6 linked regions of the Coturnix japonica genome follow. The protein of the gene in region 6 interacts with the protein of the main gene of each other region in a pairwise test. Links are inferred from orthologs where the notes say so. Each region holds a gene or a part of one and is shown on either strand. Other genes may lie near its edges. The genes, in order: FBXO7, KHDRBS3, BEND7, RBFOX2, PAK5 and PSMF1.

Region 1 (4,352 bases), on a different chromosome or scaffold from region 6:
GTGGTACTTCAACGTGCATAGCAAGAAACCAACATGATTAACTCAGACTCCTTAGAAATGCAATAGGCTTAAATAGCTAAAATAATCATTAACAGAAAGCATTTGCTGACATTTCAAGAAGACTGTGGCTTTATTGTCATTTCCTTTCTTGCATGGGCTTGCATGCCCACAGCACCAATGTACTAATGCTGCTTTGCTCCTGGCAAGAATCAATGGGACAACGGTCCAACTACATTCTCCTTCACTACTCAGAATTCTTTGGATCCTAAATCTTAATTCCTGTACTTTGAAACAATACCTTATACATATGTTTGGCAATATTTCTCATATGAAGGTCGGAGCGAGTGATATTTTGTATTTGACAATTAATCCAAAATCAAAGAACAAATAAACATCTTCTCAAGCTCCTGTCTAGGAAGGGACAAAATCAAATAATGAGACAGGCACCAAGCAGCACGGCACCTAGGGGTCTCTTCTAGAAAAACCACTTTCACCACACAACTAGCAGCTGGCAGATGCAGTTGTCTGCTTAACTGTTCTATCTACAGTCACAAACAAATCACTGCAAAACATGCATAAGACATGTCTATTAACTGGAAACAGGTTTGTGGCTTCATACAAATGTACACTTCTGAAGCACAATGCTACCTTAGCACTGTTAAACTTCATGCACAAGATAGACAGATCTCTCATTCCAAGCAGGCCATCTGAATCCTAGAAAACTGCTATAACCACGAGAATGGAATCACACATGCTCAACGTGAGAGTGATATTTCAGTATTTGCTGCATTTGTGTGGTACCTCAAGTAATTTTTTTCAAGGTAGCACTGAGGCACTAGAACTTGGAACCAGGACATAACAAGTAATGATGGAGACAGCTTTCCATCCAAATAACTGGTTACATTATCAGACAGTCAGAACTAGTCAAATATTCTGAAGCAATTCTTTGATATGCAGGGCATCACCTGATGTAAGATACCTCATTTTTTGTCTTTTGTCAAGTCAATTCTCACGTGCTTACCCTACTGTCACTTTTCTGAGCTTCCGCTTGAGATTTCTGGTTGTCAGACTCTTCATTCTGCCTTTCTTCTTTTGGACTGTCAGCCTGACTTTTGGGAGTTAAGGTGGATATCTCATGACCATTCTGAAGTGAGGGAGGATTAGAAGATGAGGGAGGAGGTAGGCTGGATTTGGCATCTGTTTCTTCTAGTAATAAACATAACAAATCACCAGGAACTATCCCATATGAAACTAAAGTCTTCTCATCTTCTGTAAGAGCATCCTTCCCATTCAACGTTATTGAAAACTCTGTATCAGAACTGTAAAATAACAGAATAAGGAAATATGGTTAGCTGCATTTGAGTAGCTGTACACAGAGGTATAGTTAGAAAAGCATACTATGTTCTACAAATGTTATTCCTTTGGGTTCTAATCTATCAGTAAGGTTCAACAAGGGCAAGCACAGAGTCCTACACCTGGGAAGGAATAACTGCATGCACTGGAACAGGTGAGGGGTGACCTACTGAAAAAGATCTCTGCAGCAGAAGGAACTGGGTGCCCTGGTGGGCAACAGGTTGGCCATGAGCCAGCAGTGTGCCCTTGTGGCCCAAAGGCCAACAGCATCCTAGGTGCATTGCAAAGAGCATGGCCAGCAAGTCAAAGGAGGTCATCCTCCCTCTCTTCTTTGCCCTGCTGGAGTACTGTGTTCTGGGCAGCCCAGTTCAAGAAAGCCAGGGAACTTCTAAGAGAGCCCAGCAGAGTGCCACTGAGAAGATGGAAAGCATGGAGCATTCCCATATGAGGAAAGGCTGAGAGCCTTGGGATTGTTCCACCTGGAGAAGTCTTGAGGGGGAAATCTTATCAATGCTGATAAGAGTCAAATGGATGGGGCCAAGCTCCTTTCAGTGGTGGCCTGCATCAGAACAAGGGGCAACAGACACGAACCGGAACATAGGAAATTCCACGTGAACATGAAGAAAAACTTCTTTACTGTGAGTGTGACAGAGCAGTGGAACAAGCTGCCCAGAAAGGTTGCGGAGTATCTCCTTCTCTGGAGATACTCAAAACCCACCCAATTGCTTTCCTGTATATGCTACTGTAGGGAACCTGCTTTAGCAGGGCATTGGATTAGATGATCTCCAGAAGTCCCCACCACACCGTACAGAATGTCAAGCCCTACAATTCTGTCATTCAGTAACACTCAGCAATACACTACAGCAAAAGTGAGGAAATAATTACAGTTTGAAGTTTCCCCCCCGATTCGCTCTCCAGGTACACTGGAGCAAAACTTTTTCTAAGTTTTTATTAAGTTTCACCTCACAACCGTTCGCACTGCGCTCCCGTGCGACAGAGGACGCCTCTCCCAACCCGTGGCCAGGCCCCGCACAGCTCCCACGGACCTCTCCCCACAGGGGGCGGCAGCGCCACGTCTCGGCCAGGGGTGGGTTAGGGAAGAGAAACGGGCCGGGCCGCCCCGACCCCACCCCGCGTGGTTCGGCCCCGCTCCCGGCCGCCCCCCCGCCGCCGCGGGATGGTTCGCTCCGCGCGCTACCTGTAGCCCCAGGCTGGAAGCAGGGCCCGGCGGAGCTGCGCGCGCAACTCCCCCAGCGTTGGCTCCGCCCCCTCCAGCTCCAGCGGCGCCGTTCGTTTCTGCAGCCGCACGCGAAGCTTCATGGCGGCGGGGCCGGCGGGGCCGCGCTTCCGCCCGCTTGACGTTCCGAGCGGGCCCCCGCCGGCTAACGATGGTGGCGGGCAGCGGGCGCAAGGGCTGCCGGGGCGTGGCGGTGTTTGGGTTGGCGCGGCGCCGCCTCTGCCCCCGGCCGGCTCCGCCTCCGGCCGGCCCCGCCCCCGCTGCCCGAGGAGCGGTTGCTCGGTGTGCCAAGATGGCCGCCGCCCGTGGTGCGGCGCGAGCGGGTCGCTGCTGCGCATGCGCACGGGTGGCGCGCCGTGGCGGGGAGGTATGAGGCGGGAAGGTGGCTGTGAGCGCCGTGGCAGCTAAGTGCAGTGAGGGCACTGCGAGCGCTGTGCCTGTCAGGAACCGCTCTCCTGAGTCTTGGAGAAGGTTGGCTGGAGTGTTTTGTATCTCTTCAGCATTGTGACCATTTCTGCAGTTTCCAGTAATCAAGTATCAAACTGAGCTCAGGCTGGGCAAGGCACTCTACAAAAAAAGTATTGAAATCGTAGAATCGTAAAATGGTTTAGGTCAGAAGAGACCTCAAAGATTGTTGATTTCCCACCCCTTTCTATGCACAGGGCTGCCACTCCCCAGCTGAGGCTGCTTAGGTCCCCATCCAACCCAGCTTTGAATGCCTCCAGTCATGGGGCACCCACAGACCTTTGGGCAGCGCTGCCTACTGAGTAAAGAATTGTTTCCTAACATCTAACCTTAATCTTCCTTTATACTAGTGTTGTATAGCTAATACCTTTATCGAGGCTCTGCTTCACATCTCAGGTTGGCTGCTGGCCCTTATGCAGCATCCTACGTTTCTTTTTGTGGCTTTTAACTGCTCTACTCCTGATGAAAATATGTGCTCCATATGGAGCATAATTCTATAATATCCATACTCCATATGGAGTATAATTTCTATTGCTTTCCTTCATCATTCTTGACCAAACATCAATGTAGTCCTCTACTGGAGGCTGTAAAAAAAAAAATGACAGAGGTGTCTGAATCGGAAATGTCCTTCAGAACATCCTTCAGGACCAATTGGCTGCTATACTGTCTTTGTTCCAATGCTGTCAGCTATGATGTGAGAACCTCAGATTGGAGAGGAACCTGAATCACAGAATATATGATCTTAGATATCTTAGGCAATCTTGTCCTATATAAGAGTTTATAAGTTTATCAAGGAAATCTTAAGGTCCTTGTAGATCAAACTACGTCTCACAAGCACCTTAACACTTTTGTTCTTTATATAATCCTTTTCACTATTGAACTACGTGCTATATATATCACTATTGAGCTACATGCAGAGCAAAATTCTTTGAAGTGACACCTCAGAAACAGAGTTTGGTATCTCTGCATTAGCAGCACCTTTGCAACTCTTAGCTGTGAGGCCAGCATGCACTGTGAGAGCACTGACTTGTTAAATGAACTTTGTTAAAAGTGAATCAAGTAGTCCAGGTTCAGGTACTAGGACAGGACAGTTATAGAGGTCAGAAATGCAAACTAAATGGGTTAGAACAGTGGAAAGTGTGTTCTTGTTTACCATCAGCTCATCAGACAACTGCCTTTCAACATAATTATCTATCATCAACGAGTTCTGTGTAGGCACTGCAGCTATAGGTGTTTCCAGCACAGATTAGTTGCCCTCTGGCAGCTACATTCCAAGGCTTTCCAGTGGCAGTAGAGA
Region 2 (4,504 bases), on a different chromosome or scaffold from region 6:
AACAAAGCATGTCGAGCTCTTTCTGTATCATTTGCAATTACGTAATTTGTATGTATCCAAATTATAGTTTGTAATTATGAGCGTAACATGCAAATGTGTCCACTTCTGTGCGAAAGCTGTAATTAACAGATTTTTGGAAGTCTATATACAGGCCACTTTTCCCTAGCCTAGAAGCTGAGTTTCAGCATGGGTAGTTATTTCAGCTACTCTGCTCTTCTGTTGGTGTTGAAGCAACTGAAGTGCGGGTGGAGAATCTCAGGAAGATCTGCAAGTTCAACCATAGAATTCCCAAGCATCAATCCTGAGTTTATTCAGTTAAAGTAAATGCAAATCCTATATGTAACACTCTTAAGACATTAAAACACCATTACGTAATTAAGCTAGTTATTTTAAGCACCTAAAGCCACTGCTAAGACGCTCTCACACACCTAGGCTAAGCTGAACTCTGAAACATGCTTCATTCTAAACCGAGAAACTAAGCAACTTCAGCTTTAAAAAAAAACACTACAAGCCACTTAATCTGCCTTGCTGTTTTATCACAGAAAGAACTCACTGGAGTTGGCATATGAAGAACAAGCAAAAATAACACACTTTGCCACTAATGACTGTACTCACTTAACTGTGAATATCAACTGAAATAAATGAACCAGCCACTGATAAAGTTCTGTTAAACATCTTTTCTCAAAACAGTGAGTTTCTCAGTTCTATTAGACATTCAACTCACCTCACTTGGTTCTTCAACTGTACAACTGCCTAAAAGGGTTTTAGATAGCAGCTAATGAAATACATTTTAAACTACAGTTAACTGGCTGATAGTTGTCTTGCTTCGGTTTTTTACCTAACATGTGAACACTTTAATCACATTTAAGGCAAGACTTCCAATATAGGCAAAAATTTCAGGGAGACTAAAATAAAGAGGTTAGAACCACAACCATCCACTTTCCTATCTATGAATACATTAATTGTTCTTGGAGCCACAGGTATGCAGATAGGTACAAGTATTATACAATAAAAGCAGGTAGACATTTCTGCCTCCTAATTGCCCATCTGAATGAGAACTCCAAAATCTATCAGCTTACAAAAGTGATTATTCTGCAGTAATAACTGGAGAATTGTATGTACTTCTATAAAGAATACTGGAAATAATTTACATACGTCTACAACTTGTACAAATTGTGTAAAGGTTCTGCCAGTATTAACTTAAAGTAACTTCACTAACTTGCAGCCTTAAATTCTGAGCCATCGAGTCAGCTTTTAGCATTTCTTTAATAGGGAACACGGAAATAGAGAGCTGTGTTAACAAAGAGCTTTCTCTCGCTATCAGTGGCACTTAGACAAAATCAAAATGGGAGTAAATAGGCAGAATGTCAACAGCCCAAGGGCAGGCAGCTGCAAGTCACCCAGTATACACATTCCACAGCTGAAACTAACAGTAACACCAGAACATTTTGGACAGCAGTTGAGTCTCCTTCCAATTTAAAGGCTGGCATTTGCAGTCCATTACACATCAAGCAGTATGTCAGTGCACTGGAAGAAGTCACACTGATGTAGCCCTATCCCTGTAGCATGCAGTACATCATACAGCTACGCTATCACTTCAACTGAAGCAATAAACATTTAGCTGCCACTGAGTTACACTGGAAGACCGGTCCCTAACTTGCTTCAATCCAGCATGCTAAACGTTCAGAGTGTCTAAATACAGAGCAGGACTTGTAAATACAGAGATGTGTAACGGGCAGGTGATTTACACCGAGCCACACAGCCCAGGTCACATGGCACTGCTTTTCTACTCAGCATTACTGAAACAAAGAGCCAGTACGACAGGACGTGTCAGAGGCACAGGGATCACTGGGACTATCTGGAGCTGAGTATTTGAAAAGAAGCATGTTCACTGTTTTGGGTAAAGGCAACCAAATGCGTTGTTTGCTCTTTAATACTGGAGTTACAGTGGCAGCAGATCCGAAACAAAGATGCAGGCTCTGTCCAACTGGGACACGTCTACAACCACTAAGCTAATTACGCTGGAGGGTGAAAGAGGGAAACACCCACGGGCTTAACTGCCCCAAAACTTCAACCCATCCTACACAGCAGCTCAACTCGGAACACTATAATTTAAAGCACCTCAGACCCGAGCAGGGCTAGAGGAAACCGCCCTCAGTCACCCGCGGGCAGGACGGGGGGGGGAGTTCAGGAGCCGGGCAGCACCTCAGCAACAGCCATAGGATATAGAACAAATCGCCGCCGTGACGGTGGGCGGTCTCCGCGCCCCTCCGCGTCGGGCGTCTCCGCGGAAACTTCCAGCAGCGCGGAAGGATGGAAGGATAGAAGGATGGAAGGATGGAAGGAAGGGGCCGCCGCCGCTCGCCCGCCGCGCCCCTCACCTTGGTTGACCAGCCGCAGGGTGTGCGTGAAGGACGGGTCCAACGAGTCCTTCTCCGCCATCAGCTCGGGCAGATACCTCTCGTCCATAACGGCGGTAGAGGTCCGGGGCGGTAACGGAGCGCCCGCGGGGAAGGAGATGGCGCGGGGTTGGGTCGGTAAATCCTTGGAGGCAGCGCTTCCCCCCGGCCGCCTCCCGCCTGGGGCTGCGGGGACGCATCCAGAGGGAAGCGCCGCGAGTCTCCGGCCGAGAGGGGAAGGGAAAGGAAGGGGGGCGGCCCCCCGGGTGCGGGACGCGAAGAAATCCCTCAGTGGAAGCGCACGGGGCGGAGGAGAACGGATAAAAAGGGGCTCCGAGAGCCGCCGAGCCCAGCCGGGACGCGCCCCTTCCGTGTACACACGGGCGCCGAAGAAAAGCGTGTTAAAAACAAAAGAGACAGCAGACACACAACAAACACCCTCCACGGCACCGCACCAACTGAGCGAACAAATTCCCCTGCCCCGGGTTTAAATACCTCCGCACAGGCCCCGCCCCCACACCGCCCTAAGCCCCTCCCCGAACACACAGCCCCTCCCTATGGGCGGTGCTCTGCCCTCCCTATGGGCGGTGCTGCTTCAGCCCCCGCCGAGTCGCCCCGCCTGCTCCTGTGCCGACTCCCATTGGGTACATCGGGTACATACGAAAGGGGAGGATTTTGGTTGTTAAATGAGAACCAAAAGCACGATTTTAACTTATTTTCTCCCCCCAAATAGTGGTCGTTCTGTTCACGCAGTGACAAAGCCCACGGGAAGCAAGGACGTGTGTCCTCCTCTGTAACACGGCACAAAGGGGACCAAATCACTGTAGCTGAAATCACCACGCTGAATTTTGGCTTTCACCCAATGAAAGGCCACCGAAAGTGTAATAGTAATAGTAATAGTAATAGTAATAGTAATAGTAATAGTAATAGTAATAGTAATAGTAATAGTAATAGTATAGTAATAGTCTCGTGCGGGTTGGAAGGAACCTTAGAGATAGAAGTGGTTTGTCTCTGTGATCATAATCATCTCACGCTGCCTTTTGTATTTCATGCCAAATAGATTTGCAGTAGGTTTTAATCATATCCTCTTTTTAGTCATAGACGGGGACAGAAAGCCCTGTAAAAATGTAAGAGAAGTCACTCCGAGTTAAAAGGTTAAGGCTCCTTCCTCAGAGCTCCGTGTGCTCCTTCACCTTTCAAACAGGAGATACTTTGCTTCTTGTTCTATTTTATGGACTGGAATGCCACATAAAACAATGTTTGCTGTGCTACAGTATAACGTCTGTTTGATTTACATTCTCCTTCCGACCCTTCCAAATAAATCTGACCCAGCAGTAACAAGAACCAGAAATAGATGTACTAAAAAATATATATTCTTGAATATTCTCCTGCATGACATCAAACTTGACAGGCGTATGAGCAGACAACAAACACGCGAGCAACTGCAGAAAGTTGGGTTGTAATGAGTTTTTTATTTCAATCCTCCATCTAAATCTTCTATATAAAAAAAGAAAAACCTCCTGAAAGGCAGCCATCTGTTGTGAAAGAGGGAGAAGGTGACACAGGACAATATGTAGGAGTGCAATCTTTATTGAGTGACCTGGAGCAAAATAATCCCTACCTCTGCTAGTAAAACTAAAAATGTATTTACAGTCCCTCTGCAGCAAACAGAACCTCAGAAAGAAAAGTAGATATATTATAGAAATGGCATAAAATACAGCGTGCTTTTCTTGGAAAAAGTCATATTCCTCCTAGTACCTGATTAAATAAACATTTGATGTTTCAGAAAGCCACAGTATTTCTTCCCAAAGTATAACAATTCTCCCTGACTTGAAATACAAAAAGACTTACTGGATGTCTGTAGAGTTGTTTTTCATCAGGTCTATAGTAATGTATGAAGCGTAAAATTACCACATTTTATCCTACTGTTGAAAATCAAAACTTGCACATAAGAAGTATTGTACATTGTATTCTCAAGTGAAATTCACTAGGATGTAATAGAAATAGAAGATGACAAGAAAGATGGGAAATGGGAGCTATAGGAGGCAGTTCAGGATATGGTTAGCTAGAAAACCTCCTCAGCATAGCTCTTACTGTCAATAAAT
Region 3 (3,779 bases), on a different chromosome or scaffold from region 6:
GAAATGCCTTTCAAAAAGTCAAACATTTACAAAAAAAAAAGGACACGAAGGCCCAGTATTACAGTCCTGGCTGGGGCAGGGAATTCTTTGCACACTGATTGCACTGATATTATGGGCCTGATTAAAAATGACTTGTGAGTGAGAGGTACAGACTGGACTTTAAGCCTGAAGAGCTGGTTCCTTGATAGCAAAAGCAGTTCTGATTTACTATATATCTACCCTGTAAACAGTTTGTGAATCTCTTAATGCAAAGGCCAGGGTGTAGTTCATATTTTCTGATACATATGGAAAAATAGCTTTGTAGAGAAAAGAAAATGTTTGGTCTTTTTTGTTGGTAATAGAAAAAACAAAAAGAAAAATGCAAACATGTATGTGAAGGTGTAGTAGCTTCCTTTGGTATTCAGAAGGCCTTCTGTCCAAATGCTAAATGAAAAATTGAAGCATTGTAAGTTGTTATTGGAAATGAAGTGCGCAAGAAATCATTCAATAACCAGTGCAATAAGGTTTCTTTTTTTCCTCAGTCTTTGCAGATGAGGACAGTTTAGTATTTCACTTGTAGTTCGGAACGATTTGAGTGTGGTAAAACAAAGATGTATAGCGCTTCAGATTTCTTTTTCATTTTGCCTTTAATCTTATTAACTGATTCAAGGAGACAAGTCATTGTGTCTGCGGTGTTCTGTCACATTGGTGTGGGTTCAGGACTGGTGCCTTAATGTGTACAAATGACTGTGGATGGTGGGTACCAGAAAATGTGAAACATTGATAAATATAAAATATGATCACTTAGGTTTCAATTGTAAGATGTGAGCTGTCAGCTTCTGTGTATGAGCAAAAAAAACCCATCTGATAGAACTGTGTGACTTCCTTCCTAAAAATTAAACTATTGAAAAGTGTTTTCACTCATTCTTGACATAATAATATTTGAAATGTTCTTGCTGAACTAATTAACTTGGTGACTATGCTCAGAAAAATAACTAATTGCATTCACACTTGTGCTGTTTTGGAGAAGATGCTCAAAAGACAGTGAGATTTTCAGTCATTCAAGAGAGCATACAAATTAATTGTTACTTAAGCCCTCCATGTCACTGACCATCCAGTGGTCAGAAGGAAGAAGAGCCGTGTATTTCTAATTTTCATCAGTGTGTCTTTCAATACCTCATACTGGAGCTCGGTGTCATTATCTCCATTGTACAGACAGGAAAATTATGCAAAGGAGATAAAATGTAACTATTCCACATGCACAAACAGCACTGAAAACTACACCATTTATCCAGAGGATGAGTTCAGTGTGCCTGTAGTTTAATGGTGTGTCTGTGTGGTTATACACGTTTCTTTGTCTATAAATTCAATTCATTACTTTTTTTCTCATTCAGTTGGGACTCAAAACAGACAACAACCTCCTGTTCCTCTGATTTGTGCTCAGAAGTCGACAATATCAAGAAAGAGAAATAAAAAGAAAAAACTACCCCTCAAAACTGGTGAGCCATTTACTATGAATAAGAAAACCAGTGCTGCTGAGAATGATAAGAAGCTGTCAGCGACCCCTGAAAGTTCCAGTCTACAAGCAATTGAACCCTCTCTCAACATAGAAACCCCTCTTACGGGATTTGGAATTATCCTTGAATCAGCTTCATCAGATGTAAGTTATATTTCAATACATTGAATCACAGGTTTTTAAAGCACTGATCTGGGAAAACATGTACGCATGTCAGCTTGAAATGTATCCCGTCTTCATGCTGAATAAACAAGAAAACCTTGGGTAGGTTGGAATGGAGACAGGTGCCTCAGTTTGGATAGTTTTGTTCTTGTTCTCCAGCTTTCTCAAACATGAAGTTCAGTCTTAATTCAAAGCTTCCTGTTGTCTGAGCTTGCAATGGAAATTTGTTCTTCATCTTTCCTGGTCCCAAGAGCCACCATGAGATCAGGAAAGTTCTACGTGTATAACCAGTTCCAAACCTCTGTCATTTATTGACTAATTCAGGTAGTTCACTTGTATGCCCTTACCCTACTGGCATGTAGTCATACACTTTATTTTATGACTGGCTGGTTCTGCTGGCTTCAGAGGTCTTCTCACACCCATAAAACTCATAGCTGAGTCTGCTGAACTGGGTCCTTTAGTCTTCAGTGTTGTGGTTGCTAGATAAGTGCCTTGGCACTGTTGATAATTTCACTGTAACTAAAAGAGCCAAAATTTCTTGCTTTTAAAACATGTACTTGTCACATGTAAAACTGCACTAAGCCTGCTTTATTAATTCACATAACATGTATGCATCAATAGAAACTTCATGTGTTAGGTGGCTGATTTGCCTTGTTTAATGACCAGACAGATGTTGTCTGAACAGTTCACTGATGAGTAAACCCATCATTAATTACTCTAATATATTTTTAATTTTGAGGAGGTAATTTCCAATTTTGTAAATACCGTGAGATAGAAAAGTGTAATTAAATTCAGCATCAGTAAGCGTAAATGAAAACAATTCTGCAGATAATGTTCTACCTTTCTGAAAGGGGGAGCTACTAATGTAAGAGAGCAGTGGTGATAATTCAGTCATACAGATGCAAGCCACACCACTAATTAGGTTGCAGTCTGATGCCATAGGGTCTCTGTAGTGATACGAGGTAACTAGTTCCATGCATTCACTGGGCTTTCTCAGAGTTCCTTTTGTAGTATGATACTTCCCAATGTTTGAGGGAATGTTCTGGGGTGAGGCCAATTATTTATCACCAGTGTGTTTTTCCTGCTTGCACTTTGTCTTTGCTCGTGGCACTCTTTTCAGCTTGAAACATAGTTTTGAAAGCAGTGCTTTTGTTTTGTGCTTGCAATGGAATTTAATTTGACATTATGAATGTGTTTCATTGCTGGGCACAGTCCTTTGTAGATGCCAATTTGAACTTAAGAAAGAACAGCAAACGTGCGCTTCATAAATCAGATCTTCATCTGCCCTCCCGTGCTTCAGACTGCATGTGCCACAGTAGTTGTTTGAATAGTTACAGAACTCCAAGACAAACAAATTGACTTTTGTTTTGCCTTTGGAAATAAAATCATTGAGTTCTGAAAAGAGATATATTTAACAGTGAAAATAAAATGTGACCTTAAACGTTTTGAGCAAGCTAAATAAAGTCATTTCTTTCTGAATGAATGGCAGTATTATCTTTTTCTGTTTAGTCATAAGGATTTCTTGTGTGCTCACTACCAGCATGTCTGAGTGCCTAAGGAAACTGGAAGACATTTTGCATAGCGCTGTAATTTAATGTTCTCTTTACGATATTGCATGGGTCGTGGGGTCATACACAGTACTGCTGCCACTGTAGTTTTCCCAGTGTTCAGTGAACTTTAAGGTCGTAGAATAATCTGAGTTGGAAGATATCATGGGTTTGAAGTATCACTGAGTCCCGGCTCAACACAAACCACCCCAAATCCCAACCCAGTGTCTGAAAGCATTGGCCAAACACTCCTTGAACTCAGCTCAGGGCTGTGCCTGCTGCCCTGGTCAGGCTGTTCCATGCACACTGCCCTCTGATGCAGACCCTTCCCTAACACCCCCTGCCCCTCCCCTGACAGCTCCATGCTGTTCCCTCAGGTCCTGTTGCTGTCACAGAGAGCAGGGCTCAGTGTCTGCCCTGTGAGTCCTCCCCTCTGTCTTCTTTGGGCTGAACAAACCAAGAGACCTCAACCACTCCAATGCACCTTATCCCCCGGACCCCTCACCATCTTTGTAGCCCTCTAATAGTTAGCTGTCCTTTTTGTGCTCTGGTGCCCAGACTGCACCCAGTGCCAG
Region 4 (3,779 bases), on a different chromosome or scaffold from region 6:
TGTCCTACTGCCAGATGGTGAGGCATGAAGGTAAGAGATAATATTCCTCATTCCTGGGCAAGAAAACCACAATACGAGTGCAGAGAGTTGTAACTTTTTAGGACATCTTAGACCCCTCTTTGCGTCCTTCTCAGTAGTGCTGCAATGTATTGGGTCAATGGATGACAAATACCAGAAGATGAATTGAGAAATTCTGAGAAGGAGTACATCAGCACTTCAGGCTGTTGCAAGTACTGAACATTCTCTCAGGCATGAACTTAATGTAGCAAAATTTAGGACTGCCCCCATTGGATGCCATCGTATGCAGAACACTCTGGCGCTAAGCAAATAGCCTGACTCTCACCATCCAACAATTTTAGTTACGTTTTTGTTAGCCAATTTATTATTTGACACGGTTGTGCAGAGCACTCTGCTCTTGCGACCAATGCTTACCCTGGGTAGGCAGGGATGGCTGTAGGAGGTACTGCCCGGACTGCCCCATAAACCGTCCTTCCTCGGCCCCTCAGGTGGGCTCCCCGAAATGCGGCTGCTGTAGTGGCTGCAGTTGGATAGGGGAAGCCTGGAACTGTAAAGACAGACAAGAGAGAAGGTGAAAAGGATCCCAGCTCCTGCCCAGGGAACAACCGCCTGCTTCAAACAAAGTGACACAAGAGCTCCGCAGCGGTGGGATGTTTTGCATCAATCCTGCGGAGGGGCATGCTTCTAACCCAGCAAGCATCGTATACATACGTCCTGCTACACCATGGCCTTTCAGGGAGGAGGGGTTGCAGAGAGGTTTGGCATGCAAGAGGTTAATGCATTGGCATGCCTCACCCACCACAAACAGGGTCCAAATCCCCCCCTCTGACACCGCCATGCAGTCTGGTTAGAGTCCGAGAAGCGCAGAGAGTTACTATCAATATAGCAGGCGGCTCTTCCAAAACTGCAGAGGCTCTTTAAAATAATTTGTCAAGAGGCCCTTAAAGTCAATCAACTTACATCAGTCTCTTCCCTCCTTTCCCCTCCCACTCTTTGCCACCCAATCCTCTGTATGTTCATTTTAAAGCCTGAAAGACAAGATAGCCCATATAACAGCAGCAGAAACTTCCCATAAAGTGCCAGCTTACTGAGAGCCCCTCTTCATTTAACGTTATTATACTTGATGCTGGCTCACCGTGGAATGACGTGAAGCCCTAGAGGCATCTGCAGACACGTCATGAGTAGGTACCAAGAGGGACAAGTGGAGAGGCATGAACCCAACCTGGTGTGCACCCAGGTGCACACCAAGGGGCCCTGTGCACTCAAAGCTGGACAGCTTGTCTAATATGTACTTTAGGAACTGTCCGTTTGGTTTCTTTGATTCCCAAGGGGCGGAGGGAAATAAAGGGAACGGCCTATTCCTTGCACACACCCTCCCCTAGGTCTGCAGCCTCCTTGTCACATAGATGAACCCATTCATAGTACAGAAAAACTGCAGATGAACGGGTTACAGCCACTGCGCAGCATACTTGGGCTATAGGTAAACTCATTCCCGACAAGACCCATCCTTTCAAGTATATATCGTACAGACCGGAGAAAAGAAGGGAAACAGGTCATAGTTAACTCAAGCACAGTAACAAGAGAGGGGCCAATGGGGGCTACTTACTGATTAAAGGAATGTAAGTGTTAATACCCCCCCTTCCTGACAGGGGCACTGCGGCGTCATTGCCCAGCGAGACATCTGCTTGAAAGCTGGACGCTAATTTAATTTTAAAAAGAATGAAAAAAACAAAAACAAAAACGTAAAAAGGTTATAAAGAAACAGCAAATTGAGAACATAAACAAACACCACTGCAGTTAAATGGCAGAAGTGGAAGTGTCTGCTGAAGCTCTACCTGCATATAACTCAGGGCCGTACACCGCTCCAACCACAGGACTCAACTTCCAACCTGAAACAACAAAGACTGCAGTGAATGCCAGAATCTACACCAAGAGAAGGAGCAGGCAGCGTGGGTACAGGGAACGGATCTTGTGCATGCGCCCCAGCTTCACATGCAGCAGCTCTTTCGAATTTCTGCTTCACCACAATCCCCCTTGGTGTAGATGGAGGCCAACTGCTTTTTTCTAACATCGAGGTCTAGGTGTAGGTTGCTGTACTGAAGGGAACAGCCAAACGCCAGCTGACCTGCAGGAGGGCACTGAGGGAATTGCCAACTGCCTCAGACACGTACTTGCCGCGAGCACCGCACAGACCTACATTCCCTGTGTGAACCATGCTGTCAGCTCCTCCACGCATTCACGTGGATCCAAAAACCTCTCCGAAGCCACAGGGAAGTCAATTTACACCTTTAAATTCTCAAATCACCTCTCTGTCATATTTGCTAGAGATCTAAAAAGCATCAGTGATTGAGATTTCCTCACTAACTGGATTGCACGACTGCACTGCAAAAAAAGCAATTCACTCTCCTCATCTCACATTTGCTCCTCTCCGTGTTATTTTAGAGTTTCCTATCATCTTTACGCTCCTTTCCAGATGAAAGCCTTCCCAGAGAACTGGTTTTAATATCATCTGGATAACTGGCAAGAACTGAAGTCATCAACACAAAACACACAGGAGAATAATGCTTAAAGGAGCCACCACTGGCCTGCCACTGTGGAAGGGGAGTGAGGAAGAGCACGTTCCCCTGTCAGATCTAGAAACCTGTCTGCCATCCCTACCAGCTTCCTCTTTGGGCACACAAAGATGGGTGTAGAACTAACAACGTGATCTGGGCTGGCATGGAAAGAGGAGGGAAGACTGTATCTGCTCAGCTAGCAATCACACAACTATTTCTATTGAAAAAGATTCCAACCTCTCCTCTATCTAGCTTTAGGAGTCCTGATACACACACTGCACTTTCACCACTCCTACTCAGCCTAGAAACCTCATGAGGTGCAGCCCATCAACACCACTCCCCCATGTGAACCAGTGAGATGCAATGCATGCTTCCTCTGTGAGTGTGGGCAAGCTGTCCTGCACTGCACACCTTGCTGGCAAACACTAATGCAAGTGATAACAATAACTGGATTGGGATCGGCCCTGTGACACTGAAACAATTGTACCACCACTTGCTAGCATGCCTTATGCTTGGCCTAATACCGAGTCCCTTGCACAGTTTTAAAGCAAACACCGCAGGCTGCTAAGGCACAATATTCCTGTTACCACGTTTCCCAAGTCCTAAGACCAGGTTTTGATACCAAACAGCCATACACAATTTCTGTCCTTCCTCTCATGCGCATGTAACATGGTTGTACTGCCTTTCACTATAAGATTTCCTAATTCCTTTCAAATACTAAAAGCCAGAATCCCAACCTTTCTGCCTGTCCCTGCTTCCCCAGTTCTACAACCAAAAAAAACCACCAACTATATGATCTGCAAGGAGCCACACAACAACTCAGGAGCAGAACCACAAAAAAAAATCTTTATTTTCTTGTTTCTGAATCTTAGGTTGTAATTAGAAGAGATTCTTGCACAAGCAACTACCTATGCAACAAGCTTCCTGCTTGTTGAAGCTGTTCAGGAACATTTTCAGGCCAAGAAGAATTTTTCCTGCTTGGCTCAGGACTAAGATTGAAATTCAAAATGCTTATCAAAGCAGCATTCAGTTCAGACAGGAGAAGAATGACTTTTTAATGCTATATATGTGCCTATGCAGTAAAATCACTGCACAGACATAAGAACCTAGATAGCCCAGTAAAACAGGGGCTTCATCGCCCAAACAACTTGGTCATTCTCTATTCAGGTTTGTTGGAAAATGAATGAATGCCAGACACAGCCTGCA
Region 5 (3,779 bases), on a different chromosome or scaffold from region 6:
GGCAGCAAACTGTACCTTGCACATTACTTTAACAGAAAGCTGGTGATACTGGGCCTATTCATCTCCCAGCCCCCAGCAGGGGGTTGGAACTACATGATCTTTGAAGTCCCCTCCAACCCAAGCTGCTCTGTGATTCTAAGACTCAAAGGGATCTGAGGCCCCTGGGTCACAGACCACAGCAGAGGTAATAAAATGGGAAGAAGAGCACACAGGTCAGCGCTCTGTAGTTGTCATCAGAATGGCAAGCATTGGAATAATTAATATCTTGAGGCCTGGTGGACAGCTGACCCTGCTCTATGGGTGCCAAGACAGCTCAGGCACCTGTGCCTCACACCAGCCTGGTTCAGTAATTCTTTGAGCACAGTGCAATGCTGCATCTCAGCATCTACAGCCCTTCCTTTGTGAAGGGGATTCATTTGTAGGAATTTCTGTACCTGTGAAATTTCCTGAATTCATTTATCTCCATAGACAACTGTATTTTGTTTTAAGTTCTAATACTTCGAATTACTGAGTGTACTGCTGTAACAATGGAAAATGCAGCAATGACAGTGTAGTAGTAAAGCCCTATGCTGCAGCAGGGGAGGATATGCTCAAATTACACAGCTATGGACACAGAAACACCCCTGGAAGGCCTCAAGCACACAAGGATCTCCAGTCAGATCCTTGTGCCTCCCCTGCCAGCTCTTAGATGAGGTCTGGGAAGGGGTGGATCCTGGCTCCAGCCCTTCTGGTCACTCAGGAACATTGCATGCACCTGAGCTCCCCTGGGTTGGCCCTGCCTTCCCACCAGGTGCTCAATCACTGGTTCAGGCCGTGACACAGCATTTCTGCTACACGGAGGTTCTAAAACTAAATTTGGAGGAGAGCTGTTAGTTTGGGACAAAGGCTCTTCCAGAGTGTAGTCATGAAAAACACCGTGCTCCTGGAGAAAGCCTAAGGCAACACTAACAAAGCTCAAGGAGAATAAGTTCACTTGAATGATTACAGCTTCATTTCAACATTACCATAAAACTGATGCTGAGCCAGGCATATGCATACTTTGTATGAATGCTGTGAACTCAACCACCACATCTAGAAGTGAATATACAGGAGAGGGACCGCACTAACAACAGCTCAGCCAAGGTGCCGACAACTGCATGATATTGAGGGATGTTGGAGAGGGGACGGGGATAGAAAACATGAGGCAGGGAAGGCTCTAATTACCCTGTGTAGATAGAGGGAGGTGCTGAAAAGCAAAATGGATTGTCAGCTCTTTGCTTGCTAACCATCAAGAAAGGAAAGGGATCACAAATGATTAGGAGGGGAGGCAAGGAGAAAACAAAAAGCACCTATTTGCCAGAGTATGGCTTGTGTGCTTCTTCAGTGTTAAGGTCAGCTGGGATCCTCCATCTTAGCAGAATAAACTGTATCAGAAACGGTCCAAAGAAAGCAACCGGGCAGTGTCTGTGCACTCGATAAGCTGTGTGGACCAGACAACAGATTTCTTAGCTGTTTACTGTGACTTCCCACCATGTTATTACAGGTTTAAAGCCAGGAGGAGATGTAGCTCATTTGAAACCGATCGGATTATTTCAGACACCATAAATGAGCACAGGACTCACCCCTCTGTTTTAGGAAAACATTAATTCGGCTTCATGGCCTCCGTTCAGATCACATCTTATGCCACACTGCCCACAGCAACGTACCTCATTGAACAGCAGCTCCCTCCTCTGCTGTTTCCTGAGATCCATTTTCTTCACAGCAACTTGCTTTCCCGTGTGCTTCTCGGTGGCGATGCAGACGATCCCTGTGGAGCCCTCCCCGATCTTGATGAAGCTGTCCAAGTACTCCCGGGGATCACCGGGGCTGACGACCAGCTGCAGGGCGGCTCTGAACTGTTCGTGGGACACCCTGGAGGGCTGCTGGTCTGAGGAGGAGCCCCAGCTGGGCGGGGGATAAGCACTTGATGTGATACTTGGGGAGCTGGGGTAGGAGGCGGTGGAAATATAGGGAGAGCTCGGCTGGAGAGATGGCTGGTGGTAGTGGGATGCTTTGTGGTAGACCAGAGGGTACTGGTAGCTGCTGCTGGAATAGCTGACTTTGCTTTGACTTTGAGGTAGCTTTACTGGGCCCCTTGGGTAGGTGTCTGATCCACAGAGTGGTGGGCTAACTACCAGCTGTGCTCGGTCGTAATCCACCTGCAATACAAAAGCAGAGGAGTGGACATGAGTGAAGAGCTGTGTTTCCAGCTGCCCGGCCGACCCTGACAGCTCCATTCTCTTTCTGCACCCTGGATATGCTCAGCAGGGTGCCAGCACAGCACGCTCCTGCATGGATTCGTTGTTCGGTGAAGGACACTGCCGCCTGCAGATTTATAGACCACTAGGTTGCATGCCCTCTCATCACTACTGAAATGAGGACAGTAAAGACCACTGGGTCTTCTGTATATCTCCTGTATCTCCCAGGTTCTCTTTTATGTCCATGAACCCATTTGGAGACATGGTAATCTTAGTTAAATAAAAGCATATGGTCCAAAGGAATGCATTTACTCTGTATTAGCAGTGCCCTGCAGGTCCTCTGGGCCATTTCTTCCAGTGAAGCTCCCTTTCAAAACAAGAAGCCCTTTCACAAACTGAAATTCATGCCTCTCCTTCCCATCACGAGTTTCTGGCTTTTGACTCTCACCCGTTAGTCCTCACTTTTGCGGAGCCACCGCAGAGCAGATACAACCCTCTCATCTTTTCTTTTTTTACCCTTTTCAGCCCTAAAATAGCCAGGCCTTCCCCACCATCCCCACAAGTGGTATCAGGGCTGCAGCATCCACGGCAGTGTAGCAGCATGGCGGGAGCACTGCAGACCATGGACAAACAGCAGAAGAGCACCAAATTCAAAGCACACGGATAAAACAGAGAGCTACAACTAGGGGAGCATGTAACCTGCTTGAGGTGAGAGATGCTCAGCGGAGCCTTCAAAGGGACTTTCTCCAAGCAAGTTAAAATGAGGAGACTAATCCAATACACCATTACTTAAGTCATTTTCCATAGTGACACCCTACTTAACTGCAGCATGGCAAAACTGCTCATTTTCATTTCAAATAGGAGACAATGGTGAGGAAATTATCCCAATGGGGGGCCTTTGTCATCTCAGGTTCCCTTCTTCCCTTGTATTTTCCCTAGCTCTTCTAAGCTACTCACAATGAAAGTCAGCAAATACTCTGCATTCATAAACAAAACTGTCTCCATCTGTGAAAAACAGAAAAGGATCTAAGTCAAAAAAATGCACCTGGAACAAAAGTATTAATTTCTTTTCCCAGGAAAGGGCATCTCCACGTTTATGACATAACATACGTGACTCCTGGCGGCAGGTGGGGCACTGAGGGGCTGGGGGTGGTCAGGCACAGGCTCATGATGTAGCACGATTACAAATAATTACGGCAATGAATTCATTTAATCAATCAATTTCCGCGGCGGCCCACAGAGGTGGACAGCGCAGCAACCCCGACACAGCTCACGGCAGCTACTATTGCTGCTGGCTGCCGGCCAGGAGTCCCTGATCCATGTTAGTTAAATGCACATTAATCTGAATTTGGCAGTGTAATCAAGGACCCAACTGAACTGTGAAATTGAATTCTGCGCTGGAACATCATTTGACCGTTTTATGCGAAGACTGCAAAAAAAAAAAAAGAAAAAGAGAGAGAGAGAGAAGAAAAAAAATCTGCCGCAGCATCAATCTATCAGTGTAGGCTGCTGCACAGCGAGGAGGAGATTCTAGCTGGAGTCACTCGGTTGTGGGGAGAAAAG
Region 6 (2,880 bases):
AGTTGTGGGGGGACGACCCTGTTTTTCCCACTGCCTCCAGCTCTTCATTGACAGTTTCTCTGTAAGTGACAAAGGAATTATTGTAAGTGGAAGCAGATTTGTGTGCTGACACCTGTCAGCGCTGGGGCCAGAGACCCAGACTCCCAGGCTTATGCTCCTGGGGCCTGGCTGTCCTGGGGCGCTCTGGGCAGCCAGCCTGGCGTAATGGAACTCATTAGCGCTGTTGTTAATGACTTGTATGATGGCAGTGCTATCCAGAGACTCCAGCCGAGTTTGCATAAAGCCGACGATGAGGAATGGCACTCACAGCATGGGGCAGCTCTGAGGAGCCGCCGTGGTCAGCAAATGACTTCCAGGCAGTGCTTTGGAAAGGTTCGCAGGGTCTGCAGGCTCTTGCAACACTGTGCTCCCCTAGGGGAGCAGGGATGGGACTACAAGTGGCAGTGAGGGCCGGCAGCTCCGATGCATGGTCAGCAGCCCACTGGGGACTTAGCAGCCATGGCTTGTGTTCTGCATGGGCTCATTGCAGGAACTTGAGGGAAGAGGGAAGCTGCTGCTGTTGCTTCCTTCTGCGTGTCTCCAGCTAGAATGAAAGTTTGCCAGTATGGTGGTGCCTTGGATCTGGATATTTGCTCGTGCCCTGGGTTAGGTGTGTGTGCTGCAGCCATAGGGCTCCCATCTCAGTGTAGTGTTAAGCTACAGTTAACACCCTGCGCTGAGCATGTGTTGTGGTGCAGCGTTGGGAAGGGTGCAGGAGGAGTACATTGCTCTTCTGTGCCAATCTCATCTCATTTGCTGCCTTTCCTCTTCCCAGAGGTCGGAGTGGTGGGATGATCGTTGATCCTCTCCGGTCTGGGTTCCCGCAGCCTGGCATTGACCCATCAGCAGGTCTCCCCGGCCGCCTTCCCCCAGGAGCAGTTCCACCTGGAGCCAGATTCGACCCCTTTGGCCCCTTAGGGGCTGGTAGGGCCGGGTAGGTGTATGGCTATGCCTGAGCTGCCACTGCAGCCAAGTACCACAGCATGCTCCCAGTCTGCCCCTGCTCTGCTGCTCCTTCCAGGGTTGTGCTCTTGCTCCTGGTTTGACTTTGTTCTAAATTCCTTTCTAGGCCAGATCCCGACCACCTCCCACCTCCAGGCTATGATGACATGTTCATGTGAGGAGTCACTGAGTGGTTTCTCAGCTAGCTGCAGCCGGAGCAGTCTCCTGGAGCGAGGAGCACTTTCCCCTCTTCATTCCCGTCTTTGGTGGACTTTGATCTTTTCAGCAGCGATTTTCTCTCCCTGCTCAGGGCCATGCTCCTGTGCTTCAGACTGGCTATAAAGGTTTCCATATGCACAGAACAAAAGAGGAGGCAGTAGGTCCATTTCTTTCTCTACTCCTCCAAGAGTAGCCAGCCATGGGTACACAGCAGACACGGGCCTGCGCTGAGCCAGGGCAGTGTTGGGAGCAGTGTGGCGTGCTGAGAGCAGCCCTGGGCTTTGAGGTTTCCTCCTCTTCTTCTCCAGGGTGGCATAGCTTTTGCTGCTGGGATTACGCATGCAGTCAGTGGTAAGGAGGGAGCTGGCTTCTTGCCACTCCCATGCTGGGGAGCTGCAATAGTCTCACTGAAAGCTTCAGCTGGAGAAGGCTTCCAGTGCAGAGATGGTTTCTCTCTTGCTCTTTATCCCAACAGAGTGCTGATCAGCACAGAGGGCTTAAAGCCCATCTCATAGGGTCTGTGTGGGCAGACCCCCAATAGTGGCTCAGGTGGGCTTCTGCATGGATATGCACACTGGATGTGAAGGGCTCCAACAGCAAAGCCTTTGATGTGCATGAAAAGAGACGTACAGTGAATTCCTGGCATTACTTGGCCCCCTGTAGTCCTTCATTCCTGGGGATGTGTGCCAAACCCACAGGCGGTGTGGAGGGCTGCCTATCGGGCACTGTGTTGGGTTGGGGTGGAACAGAGGGGGCTTGGGCGCCTACCTGAACTCTGGGTCCAGCACAGTCTCTCTGTGCCTGGTGGAGCTGAAGGATTTAGAGCTTTGCTTTGCAGCAGGTTTATAGGAACATGTTTTGCTGCTGTCAGTCCTGTGGCATGAGACTTTTGTGGCTCTGCCCAGCTGGACTCTGTGCTGCCACCAGCAAACAGCTTGTGGAGGAAGAACAAGACCTGCATGGGACATAGGATTCTCAGCTCTTTCTGGGACCCCCTCCCTTTCCTGCAGCTCCCCATGAGAGATAATTCTGGGGCTGGAACCCACTGAGGGGTTGAATATTTTCTAATCGTGGTTTGATTTCTTGGAAGGATGTTCATGAGTTTGAAATAAACATCTGACAACAGTGTTGTGTTGGCAGTTGTTGGGGGTGATTCCCCCTGCCCCACTTGGCCACCTCATCTCCCCCACACAAGAAGAGGAGCCCCAAAGCTGCACTTAGGAGCTCCGTTCTGTCTGTGCTTGCCCTACCTGGGGTGGTGGGTTTGAGCTGGAAGCCAGCTTTGTTCTTTCCCTTCAGCAGCATTGCTTTTCTGAGATGATGAGACTCTTATTAAGAAAATTAAGCAGAGAACGGCCCAGCCCTTGTTTGGTGGTAATTGGCTCTCCAGGGCACTGAACACCGCTGTTACACTGCGTGCAGCTGCATAGGCATAAATAAAAAGGGGAAGTGCCCCCCTCTCTCCCTTTTCCCTTAAGGCTTTTCCTTTTAACCCCCTTTCGCCTACAAACACAGCTGATAACAGCTGAGTTGCAGTGTATGCAACCCCAGACTGTGTGCATGTGGGGGCTGGCCATAGAGATTTGGCAGTGGGTGAACTGGAGCAGGGTGAGGCTCCTGTTGTGTCCCCACTGTTCTCCCAGCTCTTGGGCAGCCCCGACCTTGCTGTGTGTGGTTGGG

Evidence for each region.
Region 1: the proteins of PSMF1 (region 6) and FBXO7 interact in binary tests that used the Homo sapiens proteins (3 or more experiments, as listed by UniProt). The link is inferred for Coturnix japonica from reciprocal best matches to the Homo sapiens genes PSMF1 and FBXO7.
Region 2: the proteins of PSMF1 (region 6) and KHDRBS3 interact in a two-hybrid assay, tested with the Homo sapiens proteins (2 studies listed by BioGRID and IntAct). The link is inferred for Coturnix japonica from reciprocal best matches to the Homo sapiens genes PSMF1 and KHDRBS3.
Region 3: the proteins of PSMF1 (region 6) and BEND7 interact in a two-hybrid assay, tested with the Homo sapiens proteins (2 studies listed by BioGRID and IntAct). The two-hybrid records come from large-scale screens. The link is inferred for Coturnix japonica from reciprocal best matches to the Homo sapiens genes PSMF1 and BEND7.
Region 4: the proteins of PSMF1 (region 6) and RBFOX2 interact in a two-hybrid assay, tested with the Homo sapiens proteins (2 studies listed by BioGRID and IntAct). The two-hybrid records come from large-scale screens. The link is inferred for Coturnix japonica from reciprocal best matches to the Homo sapiens genes PSMF1 and RBFOX2.
Region 5: the proteins of PSMF1 (region 6) and PAK5 interact in binary tests that used the Homo sapiens proteins (3 or more experiments, as listed by UniProt). The two-hybrid records come from large-scale screens. The link is inferred for Coturnix japonica from reciprocal best matches to the Homo sapiens genes PSMF1 and PAK5.

What each region holds. Positions count from the first base shown.
Region 1 is NC_029516.1:48,686,404-48,690,755, forward strand, and holds the start of FBXO7 (F-box only protein 7), read right to left. Parts: upstream 2,875-4,352; 5' UTR 2,674-2,874; coding exon 2,552-2,673; intron 1,320-2,551; coding exon 1,022-1,319; intron 1-1,021. UniProt on the Homo sapiens protein: Substrate recognition component of a SCF (SKP1-CUL1-F-box protein) E3 ubiquitin-protein ligase complex which mediates the ubiquitination and subsequent proteasomal degradation of target proteins and plays a role in several biological processes such as cell cycle, cell proliferation, or maintenance of chromosome stability.
Region 2 is NC_029517.1:128,991,061-128,995,564, reverse strand, and holds the start of KHDRBS3 (KH domain-containing, RNA-binding, signal transduction-associated protein 3), read right to left. Parts: upstream 2,845-4,504; 5' UTR 2,470-2,844; coding exon 2,382-2,469; intron 1-2,381. UniProt on the Homo sapiens protein: RNA-binding protein that plays a role in the regulation of alternative splicing and influences mRNA splice site selection and exon inclusion. Binds preferentially to the 5'-[AU]UAAA-3' motif in vitro.
Region 3 is NC_029516.1:6,076,172-6,079,950, reverse strand, and holds part of BEND7 (BEN domain-containing protein 7), read left to right. Parts: intron 1-1,373; coding exon 1,374-1,639; intron 1,640-3,779.
Region 4 is NC_029516.1:47,483,263-47,487,041, reverse strand, and holds part of RBFOX2 (RNA binding protein fox-1 homolog 2), read right to left. Parts: intron 1,908-3,779; coding exon 1,854-1,907; intron 1,718-1,853; coding exon 1,625-1,717; intron 1,047-1,624; exon of another isoform or gene 979-1,046; intron 566-978; coding exon 433-565; intron 1-432. UniProt on the Homo sapiens protein: RNA-binding protein that regulates alternative splicing events by binding to 5'-UGCAUGU-3' elements. Prevents binding of U2AF2 to the 3'-splice site.
Region 5 is NC_029518.1:12,079,467-12,083,245, reverse strand, and holds part of PAK5 (serine/threonine-protein kinase PAK 5), read right to left. Parts: intron 3,222-3,779; coding exon 3,174-3,221; intron 2,178-3,173; coding exon 1,686-2,177; intron 1-1,685.
Region 6 is NC_029535.1:9,164,968-9,167,847, forward strand, and holds the end of PSMF1 (proteasome inhibitor PI31 subunit), read left to right. Parts: intron 1-814; coding exon 815-973; intron 974-1,108; coding exon 1,109-1,160; 3' UTR 1,161-2,325; downstream 2,326-2,880. UniProt on the Homo sapiens protein: Plays an important role in control of proteasome function. Inhibits the hydrolysis of protein and peptide substrates by the 20S proteasome. Also inhibits the activation of the proteasome by the proteasome regulatory proteins PA700 and PA28.